Oryctolagus cuniculus: one gene and its partners. The protein of the gene in region 4 binds, or shares a complex with, the protein of the main gene of each other region. Links are inferred from orthologs where the notes say so. Each region holds a gene or a part of one and is shown on either strand. Other genes may lie near its edges.

Evidence for each region.
Region 1: TXNL4A (region 4) and SNRPD2 share a complex: the UniProt entries of both Homo sapiens proteins name them as parts of the U4/U6-U5 tri-snRNP complex. The link is inferred for Oryctolagus cuniculus from reciprocal best matches to the Homo sapiens genes TXNL4A and SNRPD2.
Region 2: TXNL4A (region 4) and PRPF6 share a complex: the UniProt entries of both Homo sapiens proteins name them as parts of the U4/U6-U5 tri-snRNP complex. The link is inferred for Oryctolagus cuniculus from reciprocal best matches to the Homo sapiens genes TXNL4A and PRPF6.
Region 3: TXNL4A (region 4) and SNRPD3 share a complex: the UniProt entries of both Homo sapiens proteins name them as parts of the U4/U6-U5 tri-snRNP complex. The link is inferred for Oryctolagus cuniculus from reciprocal best matches to the Homo sapiens genes TXNL4A and SNRPD3.
Region 5: TXNL4A (region 4) and SNRPF share a complex: the UniProt entries of both Homo sapiens proteins name them as parts of the U4/U6-U5 tri-snRNP complex. The link is inferred for Oryctolagus cuniculus from reciprocal best matches to the Homo sapiens genes TXNL4A and SNRPF.
Region 6: TXNL4A (region 4) and PRPF8 share a complex: the UniProt entries of both Homo sapiens proteins name them as parts of the U4/U6-U5 tri-snRNP complex. The link is inferred for Oryctolagus cuniculus from reciprocal best matches to the Homo sapiens genes TXNL4A and PRPF8.
Region 7: TXNL4A (region 4) and PPIH share a complex: the UniProt entries of both Homo sapiens proteins name them as parts of the U4/U6-U5 tri-snRNP complex. The link is inferred for Oryctolagus cuniculus from reciprocal best matches to the Homo sapiens genes TXNL4A and PPIH.

What each region holds. Positions count from the first base shown.
Region 1 is NC_091449.1:11,275,666-11,279,627, reverse strand, and holds the start of SNRPD2 (small nuclear ribonucleoprotein Sm D2), read right to left. Parts: upstream 2,801-3,962; 5' UTR 2,653-2,800; coding exon 2,651-2,652; exon of another isoform or gene 2,415-2,650; intron 1,444-2,414; coding exon 1,264-1,443; intron 1-1,263. Other genes in the region: QPCTL (glutaminyl-peptide cyclotransferase-like protein), read left to right, coding at 3,385-3,579, 3,962-3,962. UniProt on the Homo sapiens protein: Plays a role in pre-mRNA splicing as a core component of the spliceosomal U1, U2, U4 and U5 small nuclear ribonucleoproteins (snRNPs), the building blocks of the spliceosome.
Region 2 is NC_091442.1:201,402-204,901, reverse strand, and holds part of PRPF6 (pre-mRNA-processing factor 6), read left to right. Parts: intron 1-317; coding exon of another isoform or gene 318-408; exon of another isoform or gene 409-487; intron 488-1,999; exon of another isoform or gene 2,000-2,157; coding exon of another isoform or gene 2,158-2,228; intron 2,229-3,076; coding exon 3,077-3,245; intron 3,246-3,500. Other genes in the region: SAMD10 (sterile alpha motif domain-containing protein 10), read right to left, coding at 318-408. UniProt on the Homo sapiens protein: Involved in pre-mRNA splicing as component of the U4/U6-U5 tri-snRNP complex, one of the building blocks of the spliceosome.
Region 3 is NC_091452.1:31,112,355-31,116,307, reverse strand, and holds the start of SNRPD3 (small nuclear ribonucleoprotein Sm D3), read left to right. Parts: upstream 1-1,153; 5' UTR 1,154-1,267; intron 1,268-3,005; 5' UTR 3,006-3,023; coding exon 3,024-3,149; intron 3,150-3,953. Other genes in the region: protein GUCD1, read right to left, coding at 828-1,038. UniProt on the Homo sapiens protein: Plays a role in pre-mRNA splicing as a core component of the spliceosomal U1, U2, U4 and U5 small nuclear ribonucleoproteins (snRNPs), the building blocks of the spliceosome.
Region 4 is NC_091441.1:294,906-298,121, reverse strand, and holds part of TXNL4A (thioredoxin-like protein 4A), read right to left. Parts: intron 1,351-3,216; coding exon 1,247-1,350; intron 1-1,246. UniProt on the Homo sapiens protein: Plays a role in pre-mRNA splicing as component of the U5 snRNP and U4/U6-U5 tri-snRNP complexes that are involved in spliceosome assembly, and as component of the precatalytic spliceosome (spliceosome B complex).
Region 5 is NC_091442.1:98,728,125-98,731,948, reverse strand, and holds the end of SNRPF (small nuclear ribonucleoprotein F), read right to left. Parts: intron 1,063-3,824; coding exon 998-1,062; intron 642-997; coding exon 575-641; 3' UTR 501-574; downstream 1-500. UniProt on the Homo sapiens protein: Plays a role in pre-mRNA splicing as a core component of the spliceosomal U1, U2, U4 and U5 small nuclear ribonucleoproteins (snRNPs), the building blocks of the spliceosome.
Region 6 is NC_091448.1:47,180,267-47,183,766, forward strand, and holds part of PRPF8 (pre-mRNA-processing-splicing factor 8), read right to left. Parts: intron 3,217-3,500; coding exon 3,103-3,216; intron 3,025-3,102; coding exon 2,851-3,024; intron 2,568-2,850; coding exon 2,374-2,567; intron 1-2,373. UniProt on the Homo sapiens protein: Plays a role in pre-mRNA splicing as core component of precatalytic, catalytic and postcatalytic spliceosomal complexes, both of the predominant U2-type spliceosome and the minor U12-type spliceosome.
Region 7 is NC_091438.1:130,423,808-130,427,856, reverse strand, and holds the start of PPIH (peptidyl-prolyl cis-trans isomerase H), read left to right. Parts: upstream 1-1,249; 5' UTR 1,250-1,338; coding exon 1,339-1,404; intron 1,405-1,721; coding exon 1,722-1,786; intron 1,787-2,047; coding exon 2,048-2,071; intron 2,072-2,327; coding exon 2,328-2,372; intron 2,373-4,049. UniProt on the Homo sapiens protein: PPIase that catalyzes the cis-trans isomerization of proline imidic peptide bonds in oligopeptides and may therefore assist protein folding. Participates in pre-mRNA splicing.

The DNA of each region.
Region 1 (3,962 bases), on a different chromosome or scaffold from region 4:
GCCCCTCTTCCAGGCCAGCTCTCTGCTGTGGCCAGGGAGTGCAGTGGAGGATGGCCCAGGTGCTTGGGCCCTGCACCCCATGGGAGATCAGGAAAAGCACCTGGCTCCTGGCATCGGATCAGCAGCGCGCCGACCGCGGCGGCCATTGGAGGGTGAACCAACGGCAAAAGGAAGACCTTTCTCTCTGTCTCTCTCTCTCACTGTCCACTCTGCCTGTCAAAAAAAAAAAAAAAAAAAAAAAAAAGGCTAAGAAGCCCCCATCTTCCAACACATGTGATGTTTCAGTCACACCACACTCCTGCGGATCTGTGACCACCAGGGGGGCGGTCCCTGGAGGGAGGGCGCAGGAAGGAGATCGCCCGTCATCAGGTGCCTGTTTGAATGAACCCGCCCCACCTGCACACACTGCGCATTCAGTCGCGGGTGGGAGGGGCTGAGGGGGCAGGCAACAGCCCGCTGGCCGCAGTGTTCTCAGGCCAGGACCAGCAGAACCGGGCGGCAGGAGAGCGCCTGGAAGGTTCTCCTGCAGGACCGAGCCCTGCCAGGGGCACCTCTGCAAGGCTGTGGGCACCACAAAGGACGGCCAGGGGCACGGTGAGTGCGTGAGTGAGACACCACAGAACACACGGGGGCGGCGCTGTGGTTGGTGGGCTGACGCCCTGGCCTGCAGCGCCAGCATCCCACAAGGGTGCCGGTTCGAGGCCCGGCTGCTCCTCTTCGATCCAGCTCTCTGCTGTGGCCTGGGAAAGCAAAAGATGGCCCAAGTGCTTGGGCCCCTGCATCCACGTGGTAGACCAGGAGAAGCTCCTGGCTCCTGGTCAGCTCAGCTCAGTGAACCAGCGGATGGAAGACCTCTCTGTGTCTCTATCCATAACTCTACCTCTCAAAATAAATAAAATATTAAAAGCCTGCCTGCGTGCTACCCCCGGCTCTGGCCCCACTGTGGACATCCGGGGAGTGCCCAGCAGGTGGGAGCTCTCTCCGTCTCTCCGCTTCTCTTTCAATGAATGAACCAAAAGGTGTCCTGTGGCCAGGCACTTCATGCGTGTTAAGTCACCGCATCTCTGTATCCACCGCGACGACTGCCTGCCACTGTGCGGACAAGATAACGGCACGCGCTGAGGGTCGCCTGGCCGCTCAGAGGGACAGCACAGCAGGGGCCGGCTGGCGCCCACCGCAGGGCAGGGCGGGAGGCGCGGCCTCGGAGGAGCCCCGCCCGCAGGCCCCTCCCTCCCGGGCCAGGCCCCGCCCCCGGCCGCGCACCTGTCGAAGGCCTTCACGCGGCCCAGCAGCTTCTTGTTGTTGCGGCAGTTGATGAGCACCTGCGTGTTGTTCTTGACCGACTGCGTGAGCACGGAGAGCGGGCCCGTGTTGAACTCCTCCTCCTCCCGCTTCTGCAGCTCCTCGGGGGTCATCTCGCTCTTGGGCTTGTTGAGGAGGCTCCTGACGGGGGAGGAGGGACCCGCGGGTGAGGGGAGGAGCCGGGGCCGCCCCCCAGCCCTGCCGGCCTGGTCTCTAGGCATCAGCACCTGGAAGCCACCAGCCATCCCCAACCCCGCCCGCCCCGGCTCAGCTCCCGCTAGGCCCCCTCCCCAGCCTGCTGCACCCAGGGCACACCACTCCCTGGGGGGTAAGTCCGCCCTTCTCATTGGCCGGGCAGAAGCGGACGTCCACTCCTCTTTCGTCTCCCACGGCAACTCGGACAGCAGCCACTGTCAGGACTTGCTCTACGGCGCCCCCACCTTCCTCCCCCTGGCGTCTGACGCCCACTGCCCCACAATCGGACGCTTGTCCCTCGGCATCCACAGGGGGCTGGTCCCAGGATCCGCGTTGCCCGGGTCCCGGAAGCCTCAGCGGCTCGGATCCCTTAGGTGGGATGGCGGGGACGCACACACACACACCCTGCGCACACCTCCCGCTCGCTAAGTCATCTCCAGGTTACAGCGTAACGGGACCTGACTGTGCTGCGACCCCGTGGAGCCCGGGCAACAGTCACAGGAGAAAGGCCTGCCCGGCCACTCGGGGCTGGCCAGCCTCGGTGTTCAGAACAGCACTCGGGCGCCGGCTTAAAAACCAGCCTGCCGTAGTCCCGCTCGGCAGGGCCGAATCAATGCGTCTGCCGGCCGTACCCCTCCCCCCGGCCGGCTGCAGAATCCGACCTCCGTGCCAGGGCTACCTGCACCCAGGGGCAGCCTGGGGGCCGTGCGCAAGCCTAACTCACGGCAGCCTCTTCGGAACCCTCCCAGGGCCCCCGGCTGAGCCTGCAGCCCCAGCCGCGGCGTCGTTGCGAATCAGGCCGAGCAGCCACGGCCCCCGGCCCCAGCTCACGTTCCAAGCCCCTCGCCCCCAATCGCTATGCCTAAAAGCCCGCGCCCGCTCCCCGGCTTCTGTAACTCGAGAAGCCGCTTCTTAACCTTCACTCCAGCGAGCTGATGACGCGGAGGAGCCGCTGCCCGTTCTCTCACAGAGCTGGCGGCCCTCGCGGACTCAGGGTCCGCCAGAGGCCCCGGGGGCCGGTCCCACGCTCATTACAGAAAATTCGCCCGAGAGCTCTGCTCCGCCCCCGGCGCTGCCGCCCCCTTCCGCCGCTAATCGGCCGCATTCGCACCCACAACCTCACGCCCGCCGCTTAAGCCCAGCCCGGCCTCACATGGTGCCGGCCCCGCGTTCGGGTCACTCTCACTCCAACCTCCTCCGCGTTGCTTCTGCCTCTGCGGATGGAGCGCGAGAGGGGCGGGACTTCCGCTTCCGGCGGGCCACTTCCGTGGGCGCCTGCGCAAACCCACCCGGCGGGCTGGGGCGTGGCTTGTTGCCATAGCGACCCCCGCCGGCTGCGCAGCGAGGGGGCCGAAGCCGCGAGCGGCAGTTCGAGGCCTTTAAGGACCACAGCGGGCAGGTGTTCATCGGGATGGAGAGACCAAGACAGAGAGTCCGAGTCGCGCCGCTTCGTGGTAGAGGCGGGACAGGCTGCAGGAGGGAAACGGCCAGAGGTTTCTAAATGCCCGCCAGCCCCGTCTCCGGGGGCGCGGCCTCCACGAAGCCAATCCGGTCCCGGCTTCGGGGCCTGACGCCTCGCTGGATCTTCCCGTCCCGCGGAACCAATCCCTTTCCGCGGCCGGGCGCTGCCCATTGGCTTTACCCGCTCCGCCGGGGCGGGCCGCACGCCTTCGCGTCCCCTCTGGGGGTTGTGCAACCCCTCTGGGAGCCAATCGCGACACCCCGGGCCTCCGGGGAGGCTTGTCCTCGGGAGCTGCACCCGGCTCGCCGGGCCGGGGTGGTGCCCGGCGCTCTTGTCGCTCATTGGCTTTGTGATTCCATGGGGTGGGACTTGGCTGGGCCTGAACTCCATCCGCGGTCCCTGGCCGGTTTCAGGGCAAAGCTGCCATGCGTCCCGGGGGCCGCGGGCGGCCCCGGCCCCGGCTCGGGGAGCGCGGCCTGATGGAGCCGAGCTCGCCGCTCAAGCGCCGCCTGCTCCCGCGGGCGCAGCTGCTGCCCGTGCTGCTGCTGGCGCTGGCCGTGGGCTCGGCCCTCTACACGCTGTGGGGCAGCTGGCACCGCAGGACCGAGGAGCTGCCGCGGGTGAGGCTGGGCGCGGCGCGGGCACTGGAGGGCCCTCTCTCCCCGCTTCCTCTTTCCGAGTTTCGGTTTGACGTGGCGCTACCTGGGGCCCTGGCCGCAGGTGCCACCGGCTGCCTCCCCGGAGCGCAAGCCCCCTCCCAACGCGCCCCCTGGAAAGAAAGGCTCCGGAGTCGTCAGGATGAGGGTTTTGGGTTCCACGCCCGAAAGGCAACTCTTGGAAGCCTCCCTTCCCCTCGCTGGGCTTCGGTTTCCATGTCACGATCGAGGGGTAGGCTAAACCGGGTGGGCTTGGAGAGACTTTGATCCTGGAAGTCTCCCATGCCGCGGAGGCACCCGGGCTTTTGGGGGGAGGGAGCAGTGCGCTCATTCTTCTCTTCTTTAGA
Region 2 (3,500 bases), on a different chromosome or scaffold from region 4:
GTTCCCAGGATCTCCGGGCGCTCGGCGCCGCGCCCCGGGAACCGCATCTGCCCGGAGCCGGCGGGGCCCGCCCATTTCCTGCCGGCACCCGGCGCGGGTTGATCCCTCCCCGCCTCAACGTCCCGTTCCAGGAGGGAGGGGCAGGGGAGCGGGGCTGCAGCCTGGGTACCTCCCGAAAGGTGACCCCGGTGCGGGACAGGCGCGGCCGGGCTCAGCCCACCCCACGCCGCGGAGGCCGGCCGCCCCCAGCGCAGCACAGAGGCCGTGGGGACACGCTCAGGCCAGGGGGCCCCCGCCCGCGCCCGCGTCCCGCTCACCGTCCACATCCCGGCGCTCCCCGAAGCCCGCGCGCACAGCCGCGGCGCGGCCTCGCGGGGGGCTTCGGTTGGCCCTCAGCTCGGCGAACATGGGGCCCGCGGCGCCGCCCGCGCACGCCCCTGGCCGCGCAGGCGGCCGGTGTGGCCGGCGGGGAGCGCGCGCCGCCCCGCCCCGCCCCGCCCGGCCGCCCCGCCGAGCCGGTTCGGCCCGCGAGTCTGCGCGGCGAGGCACCTGCCGCCGGCCCGAGCGCAGCGCGCTCCAGGCGCTCCGAGGTGGGGCGGCGCGCGCGGGGCCGCGTGTGCCTGGCGTGTGTGTTCTCGGGGCGCGAGTCGCCGCGCACCTGCCGGGGTCGCCCTCTCCGGGGGCTTTGACCGACCGGGGCCAGGCAGGGGGCCCCGGCCCCCTCGTCCCCGCTGATATAATCGGGTTTCTTAGGCCTCTCCCTCAGATGGGCACCTGCTTCCCAGAGAAGCCCGCGCGACCCTCCCCTGCCATCCCCCACTCCTGCTGGCCTGGAGGCAGCTCCCCTCGCCCTGCAGTCCCAGCGCGAGCCGTGGGGGAGCTGCGCTGGCAGGTGCAGGCTCGAGAACGCACAAGGGGCGAGAGAGGCTCGAGGAGGCCGAGGCCGTGGGGCAGCGGGGGCGCCTGCTCCAGGGTCCTGGCTGGAGGTGCTGGGGACCGGCACAGGGGTCTTTGGCCTGAGCTGTGAGGAAAACGAGGCTTGCGAGTGGCTGAGCTTTCTGCCTTGCCTGGGCCCTGTGGGGGCTGCAGAATCGCAGGTGCAGCACCCGGTCCTCCACCGGCCTGCGTGTCCTGGGAGGCAGTGGGGACCTCGAGTCACGGGGTCCCTGCCCCCGGGAGTGAGGCCTGCGTGGAGCTCCGGGCTGGCCCAGTGGGCAGGGGCGGCCTGATTCCAGCCCTGGCTACTCCCGCTTCCGATCCAGCTCCCTGCCAGTGCACTTGGGAGGCCGCAGAGGATGGCGCAAGTGCGGGGCCTCTGGCATCCACAAGGGAGACCCGGTGGAGCTCCCAGCTCCCGGCTTCAGCCCAGCGCAGCCCTGGTCCTCGTGGCCATTTGGGGCGCGCCTGGCAGCTCTGTCACTCCGCCTTTCAGAAAAACAAAGGAGTGCGTGCCCAGTGACAGGCCCCCCGCACGGCACCCGCGTCCGCCGCGCTCATTTCTGTCCTGAGATGATTGACGGAGGGCACAGGGCGAGAGATCTCCCACCCACCGATTCGCCCCCCAAACCGCTACCAGGGCTAGGTCCAGGCGAGGGCCAGCTCAGGCATCGTCGCCCGCCTTCCCCGGAGCCGTGGCAGGCAGCCGGGAGAGCAGTAGAGCCCCTGGGCCCGCAAGCGGCGCCCTGCGTGGGACCTGGGCGGCGGGACCAGTCAGCCCCCCGCGACACAACGCGGGACCCATCGGTCTTCGGCCACTGGCTCTCAGGAGCTGCGGACGCGGCGGCTCCAGCCCTCCCAGGAACGGCCAGGGTGCCGCCGGGGCGTGCGGGGTTGCAGTCCGCCGGCGCCCAGGTCCACACGCGCGCGGCTCGGCCCGCACGGGGAGGTTCCGGGAGCGCCACCGAGCGCGCGGGAGGGCGCGGCCCCGCCGCTCCACCAGGGGGCGCTCCGGCTCCCTTGCCCGGCGGGCCGGAAGTGGGCGGTACCCGCTCCGCAGCTTCCGCCCGGGAGCCCGGGGTGGGCGGAGCCTCGGGCGGACTGCGCGCTCTGCTTCCGGGGCGCGGGTGACGCGACGCCTGCGACCCTTCGCGACGACAGCGCTGTGGCGGGCTCGTCTCGGAGGCTCAGGCTGCGGCTTCGCGTCTTCTCCTCACCGCCATGAACAAGAAGAAGAAGCCGTTCCTGGGCATGCCCGCCCCGCTCGGCTACGTGCCGGGGCTGGGCCGGGGGTGAGGCCTGCGGCCGGGCCGGGGGCGGAGAGGCCGGGGCTGGACTGGGACTGGGCGAGAGGAGGGCTTCGGCCGGCGGGGACGAACGGGGAGCGGGTCCCCGTGGGGCTGGTGCCTGCGCCTGAAGGGAGGTGACCGCCGTGAACGGCCGCCCACTCCTGTGTTGTTGGTGCTTGGGGAGGGCGTGGGGACGTGCGGGGTGGGAGGAGCAGGGCGGAGCCGCGGGACCCCCGGGACCCTGGGACGCTCCGGGGGCCGGGGAGATGCGGCAGGGCAGGGGGCGGGCTGGGGCGTGCGGGCGGTGCCGCAGGGGGGACGCGGGAGCCTCGCGTGCCAGGGCTGGGGAGCTGGGGACACTGGAGCGTGCGCTGGGCGCGGGCCGGCCTCAGGAGACGGCTTGGGGTCGGCCTGGGAAAGGCAGTGGAAGAAGTGTGTGGGCCCCCGCCAGCCGGGTGGGAGACCCGGAGGAGGCCCCCGGCCGCTGCAGCCGTCTGGGGAGTGAGCCAGCGGATGGAAGCTGTCTCCGTCTTCCTCGCTCTCTGTAACTCTGCCTTTCAAGTAAATAAATAAAAGAAGGGCTGCCCTGCTCAGAGCCGCGTCGGCAGGAGTTGCAGGCGGTTACCGGCGGTGGTGGGTGTCGCGGCCTGGGGAGGAGCGGTGCCTGCCCTGGTGCTGGGTTCACAGCCTGGGCAGCTGCCGGTTGCACCCAGAGAGGGGCCTGGCTGGGCCAGGCTGGGTCTGTGGGCCTGCGTGGCTGTGGAGCGGAGAAGCCTGGGTGGAGACCTGGGCGCTGGGGGCTTCCAGGGGCAGGTGCAGGAGCCGGCTGACGGCGCCTTGGTCTGCCGCAGGGCTACCGGCTTCACCACCCGGTCGGACATCGGACCTGCCCGGGACGCCAACGACCCCGTGGACGATCGCCATGCACCCCCCGGCAAGAGGACCGTTGGGGACCAGATGAAGAAGAACCAGGCTGCCGACGATGACGACGAGGACCTGAACGACACCAACTACGACGAGGTGCGTGTGCGGCCGGGCGGTCTGCGGGTCCCCAGCCGCCCACAGACGTCTTCGGTGTGGCGTGGGGAGGGAAGCGCCTTTGGAAGGCGCATCCTCGCCCAGGGTCTTCGCGCCCTGTCGCTTTGGCGCGGTGCCTCGCAGCAGGGCAGTCTGACAGGTGACGCCTGTCCCCTGAGGAGACTCGAGGAGAATTAGTTTTGTTATTGGCGAGGGAAGTGGGCGGTGGCTGGTTGCCTGTGACAGTTGTCCCACTTA
Region 3 (3,953 bases), on a different chromosome or scaffold from region 4:
CACCTGGCCATGATTTCGCTACAGCTCCACAGCCTGGGCAGAGACGGCCAGGGACGCGCGCGGATGGACCCTGCTCCGCGCTAGGGCGGGGTCCCCCTCATTCCCCGGGGCTGAGGGCTGGGCCCTCAGAGAGAGGCACTGACCCGGCTCGAGCGGCGGCCCCGCTGCCTCCGCCTCCGTCCTCATGACCCGCGCAGCACGGGGCGCCCATGGCCCCGGCCCGCTGCGGGCTGCAGCTTCGGCTTCAGCTGGCGCAGGAGCGCAGCCAATGCGTGTCGAACGCCGTAGCCGCCGCCGCCACCGCCACAGCGGGGAGAAGCGGAGGCGGCGGCCGGGCAGCCCCAAGCCCCGCCCCAGCCACTCCAGGTCTTGGATCCGGAGGCCCCGCCCCTCCCCTAATCCCCGCCCCTTCCCAGTCCCAGACTTCGATTCCTAGAGGCTTCCAGCCTCATGATTTAAGCCCGGCCTGGCCATTCACAGTCTCGGTTTCTGGTAGCTCCGCCCCCTTACCGAATCCTCGCGCAGACGCGCGGGCCCTTCCTTCGCTCGGTCCCCCGGAAGCTCCGCCCCTTCTGAGCCCCTCCCCGAGGGCTCGGCGCAGCGCAAACACTGGCTCCCCAGGGGCTCTTTCCCTCAGCAAGCCCCGCCTCTGCCAGGCCCCACCCCTTTGCCGGCTTCAGCTGTAAGCCGGCTCCGGCCCTGTGATTGCCTAGGGTCCAGGCAACCGTACTCTGATCTCTTTAGTGCTGAGCCGGCCCCTGCTCCACTTGGTACCTCAGTTTCTCTGTCCAGACACGACACCTCCCCTCTCTGAGAGTTCCCGTTACCTGGCAGTGCCGGGTTCCAAAGATTAAATTGTGAGGGGAGGTCCCAGCCCTCATTCCCACTTCCTGCTGCCCCGGATCCGAGGACCCAGGCTGTAGATCCCCTCCTTGTCGTCCAGCCAGTCTTTTGTGAGGGGTGCTTGGAAGCGCAAGCCCCCCTCTCCCGTTTCGGGCCCCCGCGTCGGGGCTTCCGGCGGCCCCCGGGCCCTGTCATCAGCCCTCTCTTCCGGCGCCGGAACTATCGTACCTGGGTCCGCGTTTCCCAGCCGGCGGAGTAAGGAGGAAGCGGAGACGAGCTCGCGCTCTGGGACGGTCCCCGCGCGCGGCATTCTGGGAGCGCGTGGTATTCTGGGAGTGCAAGGCCCGCCATTCGCCCCGCTCACGCCTTCTCTCTCGCAGTTGTTGTCGCAGCACCGAAGAGGAGGAAGAAGGGGCTCGAGCCGGTGAGTAGGGGCCGGGGACGGGAAAGGGGAGGCCTAGGCGCTCGTGAGGGATCGGGGGCTGGGGCAGGACGCGCTGCAAGGAACCGCGCAGGGCTCCGGGAGGGAAGGAAGCGGGAAGCCGGGACACCCAGACACCCGCGTCGCCTCGCCTGAGCCTGGGGAGTGAGTTCGTTACCTCCCCCTCGTTTCTGGCTGCTTAGCCTCGTCCCTGAACTCCATCGGCGTCATCCTTGGCCTCCAGCCCCCTTTTCCGGCGCTGATGCAGCCCCTCGTGCTTTCCACGCCATTGCAAAAGCGTTTTCCGAAGTTCCTCTGCTTCTGAACTGTGTGTTCGATTTGGCCTGTAAACGCTGATACCTTTCCATTGGGTCGTTCCTTCCTTGAGATCCCGCGCTGGTTCCGTGCTCTCTGAAACGTAACATTCCAGCTCTGGCGGCGGAGGGCTGGGGATCCTCACGGAGCGAGCCTGGCTGCCCTGTCGTGTTCTCCCTTATTTCGTGCCAGCCTTGCGTCCTTACCTGGCTCAATAAAAACTCCACTGCTTGTCTCTCAACTACGTCGGCAGATCCTTGTGTTTTTCCTCCAAGATAAGCAGTTTCCTACACGTTGTCCCTTTGTGACCGCTTTGCTGTTTTCTCTTTAGCTTTAACAGTAAAGCGAATGGAAAGTCAGAGGCTGAAATAAAAACACAGCCTCCTCTCCTGGATATGTCTGGGTCCTCTGGTTGGTTGGTTTGTTTGTAAGATTCATTTATCTGAAAGGCAGAGTTACACAGTCGGGGTCGGGGGCAGGCAGAGAGAGAGATCTTCCATCCCCTGGTTCACTCCCTCAAATGACTGCAACGGCTGGAGCTGGGGGCCAGGCCAGAGTCAGGATCTTCTCCCCGGTCTCCCACAGGTTCAGGGGCCCAAGCATTTGGCCCATCCTCTCCTGCTTTCCCAGGCTATCAGCAGAGATCTGGAGTGGCAGTAGACAGCCGGGACTTGAACCAGTGCCCCTGTGGGATGCCGGTGTACCCGCTGCACCCCATCGTGGTTTTCAGGATGCAGTCACCCACAGCTGTGGATAGGCAGATGTGTTGCTCAGCATGGACGTTCCGAGCGCCTCTCTCCCAACACACAGACCACATTGGTCACTGGTTATCTTGGCCAAGGAAAAGGGACATGAGGGGCCAGTGTTGTGGGGCAGCTGGTTAAGCTGCCACCTGTGACGCTGGCACCCACGTGAGAGTGCCAGGCTGATTCTCAGCTGCTCCATTTCCTATCCAACTCCCTGCCAGTGCTCCTGGGAGGCAGCAGATAATGGCCTGAGGTTTGAGCCCCTTGCCACCCACATAGGGAGACCCAGATGCAGTTCCAGGCTTTGCAGCCATTTGGGGAGTGGCCCAGCGGATGGAAGATCTCTCTCTCTCTCTCTCTGTATCTGTATCTGTGTCCCTTACTCTGTCTCTAGGTAAAGGGACATGGGAGCAGGTGAGGAGTAGGGAGGTAGGTGGGAGATTCTTTTCCTTTCCGTGAGCTTTCCTTCTGTCCAGCACGCTGTCTCTCCCCTCTTCATATTGTGTGTATTTGCCAGGAAGGCTCCTCCAAGCCAGGAGCTGAGCTGCTCTTGTGTAGAAAATGCAGCTTTGGCACCGGTGTTAGGTTTTATGGGGTCCAGGCCTTGGGGAGACATGGTGCGCACCACACGCGGCCTCTGGCTCTGAAGGCTGGGCTCACTGCTGTGTCTCCCACCACAGCACTCTCCTCCTGCCGAGATGTCCATCGGTGTGCCGATCAAAGTCCTGCACGAGGCCGAGGGCCACATCGTGACCTGCGAGACCAACACCGGCGAGGTGTATCGGGGCAAGCTCATCGAGGCAGAAGACAACATGAACTGCCAGGTACGGGAGGCTGGCGGCGTCTCCATTGTGCCCGACGTGTGGCAGGCGCTGCCGCGGGCTCCGGGACTGTGGGCCTGAGCAAGAGACAGTACTGGGGCAAAGAACCGTATGGAGATTTGGAATAGTTAACTTTGGCCTTTGCCTTCTCCATCCCATAATTGTCCCCTCCCAACTCCCCATTTTAAAGATTTATTATTTATTTGAAAGGCAGAGAAAGAGAGGGAGAGATCTTCCATCTACTGGTTCACTCCCCCAAATGGCCACAGTGGTTGGATCTGGGCTGATCTGAAACTGGGAGCCGGGAGCTTCTCCCAGGACTCCCACGTACAGGGACCCAAGCACTTGGGCCATCTTCTACTGCTTTCCCAGGTGCATTAGCAGGCTCAGAAGTGAAGTAGCTGGGACTTGAACCGGTGCCCGTATGGGATTCCAGTGTTGCAGGCAGTGGCTTCCCCTGCTACACCACAGTGCCAGCCTCTCCCATGTTTTGGGGCCTGTTTGAGAGAAATGGTGTTACCACCTTCAGCAGAATTCTTCAGGTTCAGGGCCATTACCCTCCCACCCCCACCACCCCACACAGTGAGCAGAAACCTGTGTGCTCTTTTTCTTAGAAGAGGGGTCATGTTTGATTACTGCAGCTGCCTAGTGAGGTAAATGAGTTTGGTGATAGTCTCGGCATCCAGGAAAGAGGGAGAATGTGGTTAAAGGACTCATCTACTGAATATTGCTCTGCTAATAAATGATAGAGCAACTTTCTAACGTGGTGTCTTTCTCAAAGCACTGCTTTTTACATAGTCAGGTAAA
Region 4 (3,216 bases):
GGAGAATAAACCAGTGGATGAAAGATCTCTCCTCTTTTATCATCTGCCTTTCCAACAAATACATAAATATTTTAAAAAGGAAAATAAACCCTCAGACTCTGCAGATGGCAAATACGCTGAAACCAGGCAAGACCAAGGGTGGCAGACCCCAGTCACAAGCGAAAGGGGTGAGCCAGGAACCCCTCCCTGCTCGTGGGGCATCCCGACTCTAACACTGGGGACGGCCGAGAGGGCTACCGCAGGAACCAGGAACAAAGGACCCAGAGGCAGACACGGCTCATGAGGCAGGGAAACTTGGGTACAGGCACCAGTCTGCCGGGCCGTGGATCGGCGCCTCCCTCCCAGTTCTGTTTCCTGGGCCCATCCAGGATGTGGGGCAGTGGACTCCCTTCCCTCTCGGTCTCTCAGGGCCGCACAGGTGCAGTGGTGTCTGCAGAGCCTCAGCCGGCCCGAGGGACGTGAGGCTGCGGCAGAGGCGCCTGCAGGCAGCACACTCCTGGTGGGCGCACACTGAGACCCCACGCCTGTGAGCACTGGAGAGGCCAGGCGGGCTCCCAGTCTTAGCTGATGTGACACACAGACTGCGCTGGACCACCTGAGCCACTCCAGTGCCCAGAGCAGGGCTTCAGGTCCAACTGAGACTGTGAGAGTGACTCGACCGGCCAGCGCCTTCCCAGCCAAGCAGGGCACAGCGACCGCAGACCCACGAGCACAAGGAGCCGGATGAGCCACAGCGGAGAGCAGCCCAGCCGCGGTTCTGCCTCGTGCGACCGAGTCCTGCAGCTGACCCTGCCCAAAGCCTCACCAGCAGGCCTGCGGGCACAGAGCACACACCCCGGCTCTGCTCCCCTTGGGAGGCGCCCATCCCAGAGTGTGGCCGGTGCTCTCACTGCTGCTGGCCAAGCTGTTTCCAAATAACTCAACAGAACTCAGAGCGGAGAAAACATGCTTTAAGCAAAGCCAACTGATAAGGACACTAAACAAAGGTGCTGACGTGGTAACTGGTGAGTGACGCCGGCAGTGAGAGTAACTTCTCTATTTCAATGGCACCCTGCTGGCCTTCCTGGCCACTTTACTTCAAGAGGGGAACTTGTTACTGAGTAAACACGGAAACTGGAACTGTACTTTGACAATTACTGAAGACTCACAGGGATCCCCTGGCCACGTGACCACATAACTGGCTTGCTCCTGCAGGACTGCTGATCACGGCCAAGCTCAGACCACCCGTGCGTGAGGTCAGACATACCTGAAGAAAAACATGACCGTGCACGGGTCGTACAGCTCGTACATCTTGTTGAAGTCGGGCACTTCTGTGATGTCCACAAGATAAATAACCGCAAAATTTTTAACCTACGAGAAAAAGAAATTAAGAAAAACTAAAATTACAGATCCATTTGGCTCTCATTATGTTAAAGCACATTAAAAAAACAAGACTCTGTGTCATAACTGGACAATTTTCAAATGAATTCTCCAGCACTTCCTGCCCAGTAAGCTAGCACACAAGGAAACCACACAACACCGTGAGGAGCTGGCTTCTGACGATTCACTCTGGCGTCTCTCACAGTGCCTTCACAGTGTGGCACTCACGGGAGATCCCGAAAGCCCACTGAGCTGCCACAACTGGGCTTGCATGCTGAGCCACTGCTTTAAACCACACGTGTGCAGACCTCAGCCGTCCACGACCTTCCAGCCGTCCCGGACTGAACATCTGCCAGTACCAACAGGACCCCAGGTGATACTGTACACATTTTCCGTGATTTTTTTCTTTAACTGCAAGTTCATCAGAGAATATATTTAGAGAAAACAGAAAAATATAAAGAAAGTAAAATCACCTCCAGCCTCAATACCCGCAGGTAACTGGTCTAATTCCTCTGTTACATTTCTCTTCTACCTCTTTTCTCTAATTCTTTTGCCACATTTCCCCCCACTTTCAGGGCATGTTAAAAAAAATTCTATGGGACAGTGCTGTGGTGTAGCTGGTAAAGCCACCACCAGCAACACCGGCATCCCAAATGGGCATCAGTTCGAGTCCTGGCTGCTCCACTCCTGATCCAGCTCCCTGCTAATGGCTGGGAAAGCAGCAGCAGATGGCCCAAGTGCTTGGGACCCTGCACCCACGTGGGAGACCTGGAAGAAGCTCCTGGCTTTGGCTTGGTCCAGCCCCTGGCCGTTGTGGAAAACTGGGGAGTGGACCAGTGGATGGAAGATCTCTCTCTTTCAAATAAATAAATCTTTTTTTTTAAATCAACTAGAAAATTTAAAGATTCTATGTGTACTGTTTCTATGAAATGTGATCATACAGTTGTCAGACTACAAGATTACGTATCCTGCTTTCATTGTGATCATTCCCTTAACAAATTACCCATCTTCCAGAAACACAAGCTTCTACATCTTATTTCACCAGTGGCCATGTTGTTACTATCCTGTTACTTTGTTTCTGATTTTTCATGACTCAATCAAATGTTCCATTAACACTAATGCTACCTGTGAACTGTACCCTTATACTGTTTACACACTCCATCATTTCCTAAGGATGAATTCCCAAGAGAACCTCTGGACCATGGAATATGACATCTGTAAGGCTCAAACAAATACTGCCAACACCCTCCGGAAAGCTTACACCACTTCCGTGTGTTGAGCAGGGCTGTGTCCACACTGCTACATATAAGGTCCAACCTCAATGCCGAGCGTGTGACTTCTCCAGGAACAGCAGGTGGGCCCCCATCACCAAGTGCTGCGCACAAGCTGTGGGGCCAAGGAGGACAGGGTGGGTTCCACCCCGTGGAGGAGGCTCTCTCCCAGGTCCTGGGAGCACACCCCTGCCCCTGACTCTGGATGTCAGGTCTCCACACTGTGAGCAGACCCGGCCTGTGACGTTTTCTGGCAGCCATGGGAGACAGGCACCCACCCACATTTCTTTCCAAAGTCACTCTAACATCCAACTCTAACTTACAGATGGGATAATGTGGTAACTGGGATTTGCTTTAAATGCTGCAGCATAATCAGGGCTAGACAACATGAGAATGGCAACGTATTAATAACCACTGCAGCCGAGGACAGGAACAGAGGGCTCATTACACACTCCTCTCTACTCCTGGGAATATCTGGACTCCATGTGTTCTCCAACACCCCACTGAAAGCTCAGAGGCCCCCAGAGTCAACGTGGTCCTTCAGTCAGTTGCTTCTCAGCATCGCCAACCTCCCGGCTTAAAGCGG
Region 5 (3,824 bases), on a different chromosome or scaffold from region 4:
ACCGTGAGACTGGTTTTCTTTCACAGTAAATTCTGTCCTAAATACTTTATTATCTTAAGTCAACAAAACATATGTTTGCAGCCTGTCAGGGCACAATTTCTGTTGTGCCCTATCTCCACAATTATTTTAATTATCAGATGTTCTGATTTTAGCTACAGCATGTACATTAGTTAGCATATATTAATAGAGAACATAGAATTTATTGACTACTAAGTAAAAATAGTATATATTAATACTAAGAAAATGCTTAACTTGTATACATATTAAAAGTAGCTCAAGAATATAAAAAACAGTTGCCTTTAAAAGGTCTCAGTTAATATATAAGGGCTGAAATTCATCTTTAAAAAATTTCTAGGCATCTACAGGAAAAAAAAGTACTGGGGTTAACAAAAGAAAACCACGCTGAATCAAGCAGGATGGTTTTTCAAGCATTGGTTCTGATTGGTTCAACAGGGGAGCTTTGCATTTGTTTAAGTACCTACATATAAATAGCTCACAAGTCAAGTTGAAAAAACAAACACATCTTTATTGTCTAGAAATATATATATAAAAAAAGAAAACCCCACCAAAGATGCTACTCTCTCATTTCACCATCTTCTTCCTCTTCTTCAACACCCCTGATATAAAGGACATTATTACACCTGTAAACAGAAAAAAAGGCCCATTTTGTTAAAAAGCACATGACACATTTTTTATGTGTTTGTTAAAAATGATATTTTCTGAAGGGAAAAATTACTGGAACTTGGGTCTAACAAACATCTTTAACAATAAAGGTTACAACACAGAGTCACAAGACTTATCAACATTAGAACTATCTTGAGGAAGAATAGCCCCAAAATATTTTATCTTTGACAAGTTTAACAATTTCAAAGATCTTGAAATCTAATTGTACAGTATTATGATAAATTGACAATTTTTAAAAAACCAGTAATTTCCAGGTTGAGGCACTAAACATACTGCTCACCACTAACTTCTCACACACACTGGCGCTGTTTACCTTATTAACACTTCACCCAGATGTCCAGACAATGCCCCATCTATGTATTCTTCTGTATTTGCAAGCTTGAAGTAAAAAGAAATCCATTAGTATCAATTGTACAGGAGGAAATTATAAAGCACACCTACAACTGGTGAGACCTTGTTAACTGAGACCTTTCTATACCAACAACTCAAATTTATCTGTAATTAATAGTGAGAAAATTAGCTTTCTATTACTATTGTAAGTACTTGTTTCATGTTTATATAAACATTTAGTAATATTAATGTTCATGCATATAGAATATATATTAAAACTTGTTTCAAATAAGTTAAACTTCCCAGTTTGTGCAGTATTTCTTTCGTTAGATATCAAACAGTGTTTCAGGGAACGAAGTCTCCAATTTATTCTCGTAAGTTGTGACTAAAACATTTTCTGAAAATTCAGTTCTCAAATCCCAAACATTAAATTTTCTCATAGTAATAATATGTAAATCATATAGAAGTATCTAAACAGGTGTACAAAAGCTATGGCTAAAATCTACCAGTCAACAACCAAAGAACTAAGGTTTTTTTGTAAAAATGTAGGCACTGGGGCCACTGTTGTGTTGCAGTTGGTTAAGCTGCTGCCTACAATGCTGGCATACCACATGGGTGCTGGTTCATGTCCTGGCTGATTCAGCTCCCTGATAACGTGCCTGGGAGAACAGCAAAAGACAGCTCAAGTACTTGGGCCCCTGCACCCACATGGGAAACCCAGATGGAGTTCCAGGCTCCACCTCTCTAACTCTGCCTTTTAAATAAATAGTTAAGATAAATAAGTTATTTCTCATTTTACATCAAAATGTTTAGTTTTCCTTATACATATAGGTAATAAACTTGTAATTCTAAAAAACCAGTGCCATCCAGGACTCATAAAAGAAATGAACACTAAACACACTCATGAAGGCAAGGACTACATTTTGTCCCCTGCTGTATTTACAGTGTCATGTACACAACGGGTACTCCATGAATATATCTACTCACTCAGCAGACTCAAAAGCTGCTATCAATGTGGTTGGTCAGATATATTCTGTAACTCTAGTAGTTTCACTAGGAAGCTGTTAATTCTAAAACCAAATATTGGGGCCAGCACTGTAACATAGCAGGTAAAGCCACCGCCTGCAGTGCTGGCATCCCATATGGGTGCCAGTTCAAGCCCTGGCTGTTCCACTTCCGATCCAGCTCTCTGCTGTGGCCTGGGAAAGCAGTAGAAGCCCTTGGGCCCCTGCACCCACAAGGGAGACCCAGAAGAAGCTCCTGGCTTCGGACTGGAATGGCTCTGGCCATTGCGGCCAACTGGGGAGTGAACCAGCAGATCGAAGACCTCTCTCTATCTGTATAACTCCAACTTTCAAATGAATAAGTCTTTAACAATAAAACCAAATATTAAGTGGGTGTTATTTTCAAATATGTAACACCCATACTATAAAATCCACTATTTTTTTGAAGTTTGTAATTCAGTAGTTTTGGTATAAAGTTGTACAACTACTATTACATATTCCAGAACATTTTTCATCAAAATGGTTATACCTTTTCAGATTTCCCTATAGGCTTGGTAAATGATTCCTGTTTCAGGAATTTTCCTGACCAAAACCATGCTTAGAGTTACCTACTATGGTGGCAGATGTTTAAACACAATCTTAGCTCTCTGCCTACCAAAGTACTCCTGTTAGTTTTCTGTGTATGGAATCCTTCAATTCATGGTTGGATTGACCACCTGTCTAGGTAACCTTTAAAAATCTGGAAAGAATTCCAACTAAAAAAAATTTAAAAATGGGCAAAACCCATAAATGGCCAATAAGCAAATGAAATGGCCCTCAACATCATTAACAGAAATCCAAATCGCCGGTGCCATGGCTCAATAGGCTAATCCTCTGCCTTGCGGCGCCGACACACCAGATTCTAGTCCCGGTCGGGGCACCGGATTCTGTCCCGGTTGCCCCTCTTCCAGGCCAGCTCTCTGCTATGGCCAGGGAGTGCAATGGAGGATGGCCCAAGTGCTTGGGCCCTGCACCCCATGGGAGACCAGGATAAGTACCTGGCTCCTGCCATCGGATCAGCGCGGTGCGCCGGCCGCAGCGCGCCGGCCGCGGTGGCCATTGGAGGGTGAACCAATGGCAAAGGAAGACTTTTCTGTCTCTCTCACTGTCCACTCTGCCTGTCAAAAATAAAAATAAATAAAGAAATCCAAATCAAATCCACAATGAGATACTAATTCGACCCCACTGGAACCTTTATACTTGCTGGGGGAAATGCAAAACCAAAGCTGCTATATAGAAAACAGTGTGGCAGGTCCTCAAACACAGAACTGCCATATGACCCAGCAATCCCACTTCTGACAGCAGGGACTCGAATATACACCCATGTTCATAGTAACATCATTTACAGTAGCCAAAAGGAAGACGCAATCTAAGTGTCCACAGGAGGTGAATGGGTTAGTGTGGCACATCCATACAATGGAGTCTTTCTCAGTCATAAAAGGCATGAAATCTGACACATGGCTGTACGACATGGGTGACCCCTGAGTACACTGTGCTAAGTGAAACAAGCCAAACACAAAAAGATACAATCATCCCTTGGAATCTGGGAGATTGGTTTCCGAACACCCTCTCTGCTCCCTGTGACCAAGGATACCAAAATCTGAGGGTGCTTAAGTCCCTCTCTGTAAAAGAGCACAGTACCTACATATGAACTATGCACATGCTCTCATATACGTTAAATCATGCCTAGATTACTTATGTTCCCTACTACAATGTAAATGCTATGTAAAAATGCTATAATGTCTTGTTTAGGAAATGACAAGAAAC
Region 6 (3,500 bases), on a different chromosome or scaffold from region 4:
ATGCACTCCTCCTTCTATGTCACATCCCAAGTAGAACTGCGCCCTGCAAGTGTACCTTTCAGCACTCAGCACCCAGAACCCCACTTTTCCTCAGCACCCCTGAAACACTGGTTCTTCCCCAGAGGTGGTAATACCAGTCACCCTCGGGAACACTGGAGATCTACAGACATTTTTGATACGTCACAATGACAAGGAGAGGTGGGACAGGTATGTGCTATCAGTGATGGTACTCAAGGTCTGGAAGTTAGAATCTCCTGTAGTTTATTACAATAAAGATGAGCCCTCCTCAGAATGGCAGGATTTCCTCCACTGAGAAACAATGGCCAACAGGATGACTTAGGGTCGGAAGCAAAGTTACAGAACTTAATTATTCTCCCATCTTTAATTCTGACTTGTGCTGGGATTGTCACTCCTCTTTACTCAGTTTCCCATATGTAAAAGAGGGAGATTACACTTATAATCCAAAAGATTCCAAGGCTGGAAAGTGGAATTGTAAATAAGAACATTAGATAAACCCTGAGAAAAATTGTTTCTTAATTCTAATTATTCCAGTTCGTCTAGTCTCTGTTCTACAAAACATACCAGTTTCTGCTTCACAACAGGGGAGTTAATATACCACATCTTTCAATCCTATGGAAACTATTAAGAAGGAACACCAGGGGCCGGTAAAGCTACTGCCTGCAGTGCTGGCATCCCATATGGGCGCCAGTTTGAGTCCCAGCTCCCTGCTATGGCCTGGGAAAGCAATATTAGATGGCCCAAGTCCTTGGGCCCCTGCACCTGCATGGGAGACCCGCAAGAAGCTCCTGGCTTTGGATCGGCCCACTTCTGGTCTTTGTAGCCATCTGGGGAGTGAACCAATGAATGGAAGACCTTTCTCTCTGCCTCTCCTTCTCTCTCTGTGTAACTTGGACTTTGAAATAAATAAATAAATCTTAAAAAAAAAAGTTAACTGACTGCTACATCAGATAATTTCTTTTCTTTCCAATACCAGTCAGAAAGGAGTCATGAATATACTATAAAGTGATCCATATATTTTTTAAAAGATTTATTTGAAAAGCAAAGTCACAGAGAGACAGAGAAGAGAGAGAGAGATCTTCCATCCACTAGTTCACTCCCCAAATGGCCACAACAGCCATAGCTGGGCTGATCTGAAGCCAGGAGCCAGGAGTTCCTTCCAGGTCCCCCATGCAGGTGCAGGGGCCCGAGGACTTGGGCCATCTTCCACTGCTTTCCCAGAGAGCAGAGAGCTGGAGTGGAAGCAGAGCAGCCAGGACTTGAACCAGCACATATGGGAGGCCAGTGCTACAGACAGCAGCTTTACCCACTATATCACACCACTAGCCCCAATCCATTTTTTTTAGCACGGCACATGCAATTTGTAGCAAGAACCAAAAAATGTATTTATTACTCTTTGAGCCACAAATTATACTGCTGGGAAGTGAATAAGCGGAGATTTAGTATATTGTGAAAAAGAAAGGGGTTGGGGCAGGCATCTGGTGCCACAGTTAAGGTGCTGCCTGGGAGGTGTGCATTCCATACTGAAATGCCTGAGTTTGAGTCCATGCTCCACTTGCAATTCTGGTTCCTGCTAATGTGCACTCTGGGAGACCAGGGTGATTACTCAAGTAGTTGGTCCCTGCTATCCATGGGGGAGACCTGATTGAGCTTCTGGCTTCAGCCTGGCCCAGCCCAGGCTGTTGAGGGTATTTGGGTGGGGAGTTAACCAGCAAGTGGATGATATGTGTATGTGTGTGTGTGTGAGTGTGTGTGTGTGCCTCTCTTTCTGTAACTTGGACTTTCAAAAAAAAATTGCAATCATCAAAAAAAAAAAAAAAAAAAAAAAAAAAGCAAAAACCATGTGGTTATACACTGTTAAAAAGAATTCAAAAGCGGCATGAATACCTGGTTTACATGATGTGGTGTTTGAGTGCAAAGCTTTTCTGGGTAGTCTTTGAAATAGTAAAAATGTTGCTAGGATCAACTCATCATCAACATTTGCTCTCATTTTTGTTATGGCCTGTAAAGGTGACTTGAATTGTCATTGCCTATGTGCTTCTTTCTGATGTCCCAAAGGAAATTTTTTCTCTGATAAACATTATGAATTTGCTAATTCCATAACTGAATTGAAATCATAAAAGATCCAGTTACTCCAAAAACACAACACAACAGCCACAATCAGAGCGAAGCCCTGAGACATGCAGACTTCCTGTACTATTTGAAGACACTGCTTGCTTCTCCTCTGTGAGTATCTCTAAGACAATTTCTTGAGAAACTTATGAGCCAAGTGTTCCAAAGCCACAGAACCCCAATACTGAGCCCCCCACTTCAGCTTTGTGGACACCCATTGGCCTCCCCATCACAATGGCTCACTTGTTCTTCTTGCCGTAGTCAGCCAGGATGAGATCCTTGAGCTGCACCTCCACCTTGATCCACTCCTCATCAGTCAGAGTGGGCCAGATGTGGTGCGGCTCTGTAATTGTAGTCTTATCTGGCTTCAGGATCACCTTCGCCCGGTCATTGTTCACATGCAGAGCACGCAGAATCAGGATGAGACGGGAGAAAGCCTGGGAAGAAATTCAGAAGAGTGTTTGCGAGTGGGCGGGGACGGCGGAGGTCCGCTAACTGAGGTTCTCCCCTTTTCTCAATGTCTCCATCCTGTGCTTGCAGGAAACCCAAGAACTGACTTCAAACTCTAAAGTTCCAAGCCCTCGTAAGGCAGCAGAGTTCCTGCTCCATCCACAGACTGAAACTATGAGAATGGCCCAAATCAGCGGCCTGTGAGGAAACTATCAGGCAGAGAATACTTTCCTGACCACAAACCCACTCGCAACGTGGCCGTCTTCCTACCGTGTAAGATGAGATAGTCTTGAGCCAGTCATCATAGAGGTTGAAGAGAACCATCTGCGGCTCAGTGGCTTTAAGGATGAGATCCCCAAACTTCTCCACCTTGAGACAAGCCTGGAAGGGGAGCTGCAGCTCTGATCCTTTGATCACAATATTGGGGAAGTCCAGCAAGTGCACCTACGACCAGATCAAGACAAGATCAGAAACGATCTTCAGCCTCAGGCCTGCCTTTGTCTACCCTGTCCACCCTTTTACCTCCAACGGGTCCAGCATGCCTTTCCTGGTGACAATGATCTGCTTGGGCTGCTCCTCCACAGGCAGAGATCGGATCAGGGCAGCCACTTCCTCAGCAGTCTTCCACTTAGCCAACTGAAAACCAAGAGAAAGGCAGTGGAAATTGAGTCTGCAGCCTCCCGATCAACTAGAACAGAAAGCCCTACTCTTGAAATCAAGTATGTCTGGACGTTAATGTTGAATGCTAAGCTCTTAGAAGATAAACTGTCAAAAGGCCTTGTCCAAAGGGGGTTTTCAAGCTATACAAGATACTACTCAAAACCAGTATATGATCATGCTAAGCAATATGACACAGTTCAGGAATGAAAGAAGTTAAGGCTACTAGAGTCATAAAAAGCTGTACAAAGAAATGAGTCTTA
Region 7 (4,049 bases), on a different chromosome or scaffold from region 4:
CTGGGCAATTTTCCACTGAACTGTGAACTAAAATCAACTACTTTTGGAGCCAGCCTGCAGTACCAGCATCCCATACGGGTACTAGTTTGAGTCTCAGCTGCCCCACTTCCAATCCAGCTCTCTGCTATGGCCTGGGAAAGCAGCAGACGATGGCCCAAGTCCCTGGGTCCCTGCACCCATGTGGGAGACCCAGAGGCAGCTCCTGGTCCCTGGCTTCAGATCAGCTCAGCTCCGGCCATTGCAGCTGGGACTCGAACCGGCGTCCATATGGGATGCCGGCACTCCAGGCAGTGGCTTTACTCACTATGCCACAGCATTGGCCCCTATCCTCGGCTCCTCAGATCACAGAATTACAAAGGATGATCAAAAGTACCAGTTGCACACTCTGACCCCGAACCTTGCCCAGTCCACCTTTCACTCAGTGAACTGAATCTATTGAATACCGCTAAGAGCTCAGCAATAGCAGGCACTGCAGTTACAGCGGTGAACCAAACAGGCAGAGTCCACTTCCCTGGAGGTTCCGGGCCTTCAGGGAGCCGGATGTCCCTGTGGAGACAGGTGCTGCAAGGCAATTTTGGCTGGGGGAGTGGTGTAAAGAAAACAGGTGATCCGAGTGCAGGAAGGCTGTCTTAGGTTGGGTGCAGTGTTGTCTCTGAGGGGGAGCCGTCAGGCTGCGCCCTGCACCTTGTACAAGGAACATCCCCTGACCTCCACTGAGATCTGGAAGAAGAGGGGCCAGCTCGTACCAGGGGGCATCCCAGAGGCCCCAAGAACACAGGCCCGCGCCCGGCAACAGTGCGAGGGGTAGCAGGGGAGGCCAGGCGGGTGGCGGCAAGTTCCAGCTGCTCTGGGGGAAGTGGGCTGGAAGCCACAGAATTCCGATGTCCCGACGTGAAGGAAGAAGGGGTAAGCATTCACCGAGGGAGTCTGCGTCAGGCTGCTCCAAGCGCCCGCTGAGCGCGAGCAAACCAGAGCGCCTGCCTTGGGTCTCACCTGGGCAGCGGCAAGACCCTGCCCGCGCGGTGGGCGCTTCAGGTGTCTTAGCTGTAAGCTGATGGAATCTGCAGACTGCCCTAGAATTTGGACCGTATTAGTACAGATACGCGAGCGGGGTCCCGTTGACCTTGAGGGAAAAGACGCCGAGGCTTTACCCGCGGTACAGCCTCCACGCCACCGCCACGGAGCCGCCCCGAGCCACCGCACGCGCCCCGGAAGCCGGTCGGCTTCTACTGCGCCTGCGCCGCGGCCTCCTCTCCCTCCCGCCCCGCCTCCACGAGGGGGCTGGGTCTTAGTCGGCCGGAACTCCCCGCTCCCGACGTTTGCTTCCGGGTCGGAGCCATGGCGGTGGCAAATTCAAGCCCTGTCAACCCCGTAGTGTTCTTTGATGTCAGTATTGGCGGCCAGGTGAGATCCAGGCGGCCACTCCGACTCACGCGGGAGGGAATGGGGATAGAGGGGCAGAACCCACCAACCCAGGGACGCCAGAGAGTGAAACCAGCCAGACCCAGCGACCCGCTGCCAGGGGCCTGGTAGCAGGAGGCGTGGGAATGGCGCGCATCCTGGCTCCCTGCTTCTGGAGGGGCTGGGGGGACCCACGGCTAGGCCAGGGATGCGGAGGCGGGAGAAAGCGGACGGGTCAGCCTCCGGGGCTCCCAGCTTCCTGAGCCCTTCATAGACTTGGACTGAGCCTTGTGACCGTCTCCGTCTCCCTCCGGTTACAGGAAGTTGGTCGCATGAAGATCGAGCTCTTTGCAGATGTTGTGCCCAAGACGGCCGAGAACTTTAGGTAAGGAGATGCTCCAGCTCCGCCAGGTGAGCCGAGCCAGCCGCCGGACCCCAGGCGGCCTGCAGAGTCGCCTGGTGCGGGCTCGGCCCGAACGGTCACCATGGTGACTGTTCGCGTGTCAGTTCGTGTCCGCAGTCTGCAGGCCTGCGTCTGTGCACGCGTGGGGGCAGGTTGACGGGCTTGCTGGCTCCGGCCCTCCGAGGTCCGAGGCGCGCACGACTGTAATGCCACAGTGACTGAGTCTTCACTCTTTCCTTTCAGGCAGTTCTGCACTGGAGAATTCAGGTCAGTCTCGGGCGTGCTTCACTTCTCCGCCTGCTCCTATGGGTGTCTTAGGGCCGCACTGACTGTATTGGGGAACCACCAGCAGGCCGCCAGTGATTGCAGGCGGTGCTGATAAAAGGTGGCACCCCAGGGGTCTGTCCTTCGCAGGTGCTGTTCTCCCAGCGGTCTCTAGGAGAGCCCCTCTGCTCCAGTGCAGGAGCTGCAGAGGCCTTTGATTACCTGTCGTCATTCCAAGTCTCTTTCTTTTTGCTTATAGAAAAGATGGGGTTCCCATTGGATACAAAGGAAGCACCTTCCACAGGTAAGGCCGTTGGCAAGCATCCTGGGGGCTGGGACGCCTCTCAGCATCCGCAGGGGATTGGTTCCAGGATCCCCCTCAGGTACCTAAATCCAAGGATGCCTGGTCCCTTGCATAAAATACATAGTACTCGTATATATGGATTTCCCAAGTTTTTGCACCAAAATAAGTTTATCTTTTAATTCCATTTTCCATCAACTTTTTATTTAAAGTGCCCCTGTTTTGCATATAACCCACACAATCCTCCCATATATATTTTTAAGATTTATTTATTTATTTGAAAGAGAGAGAGAGGCAGAGAGAGAGAGACATCTTCCATCTGCTGGCTCACTCCCCAGTTGACTGCAACAGCCAGAGCTGTCCCGATCTGAAGCCAGAAGCCAGGAGCTATTTCCAGGTCTCCCATGCAGGTGCAGGGGCTCGAGGACTTGGGCCATCCTCCATTGCTTTCCCAGGCCATAGCAGAGAGTTGGATTGGAAGTGGAGCAGCCAGGACTAGAACCAGCACCCATATGCGATGCCAGCACTGCAGGTGGCGAGTTTACCTGCTATGCAACAGCGCCGCCTCCCCCCTTACGATTTATTTATTTATTTGAGAGTTGGAGTTACAGACAGAGGGAGAGGCAGAGAGATATCTTCCATCCACTGGTTCACTCCCCAAATGGCTGCAATGGCCAGAGCTGGAACAGTCAGGAGCCTCTTCCAGGTCTCCCACGTGGGTGCAAGGGCCCAAGCACTTTGGGCCATCTTCTGCTGCTTTCCCAGGCCACTAGCAGAGAATGGGATAAAAAGCAGAGCAGCCGGGACTCGAATCAGCATCCATATGGGATGCCAGCATTGCAAGCTGCAGCTTTACCCACTACACCACAGCACCAGCTCCTTTGCATATACCTAATAAAATGTAATACTATATTGTTCAGGAAATAATGGTGAGAAAAATAACTCAATACATGTTCAGTTCAGATACAGTTTTTTCTCCCAAATATTTTTTATCTCAGGTTGCTTGAATTCCTTGGTTGTGGAATCTATGGATATGGAAGGCTGAGTGTACTTTGTTACGGGGTTAGGATTTTTATTTTTTATTTAGTATTTGAGAGACATGAGAAACAGGGAGTTAGCTCCCGTCTGCTACTTCACTCCCCAAATTCCCACAATAGCCAAAACTGGACCAGGCTGAAGTTGGAAGCCAGGAACTCAGTCCAGCCCTCCCATGTGGGTGGCAGGGACCCAGTGACTTGAGCCATCACCTGCTGCCTGCCAGGGTGCGCGTTATCAGGAAGCTGGAATTGGGAGTGAGCCAGGCATTCCGACGTGGGATGGGGATGTCCCCAGCAGCATTTTAACCACAAGACCAAACATCCGCCCTCCTGATGAGGAGCTTTGAAGAGAACTAAATCAGAGGCTAATTCTTAGCCCTTGAGAAGACATGTTTCTGTGGACTCAGCAACCTGAAGATCTAAATGTTCTAGCTACACTTACAGTCCTCCACTGATTCATTTTATGTATTAAACCAGAAACTGCATCGTTCCACTGTTCTATCAATTTCATGCCTTTATTTGTGTGACCACAGATTTTAAAGATTTATATATTCATTTAAAAAGCAGAGTTAGAGAGAGGGAGAGAGAGATCTTACATCCACTGTTTATTGCCCAGGCGAGGGCTAGGCCAGTTCAAAGCCAG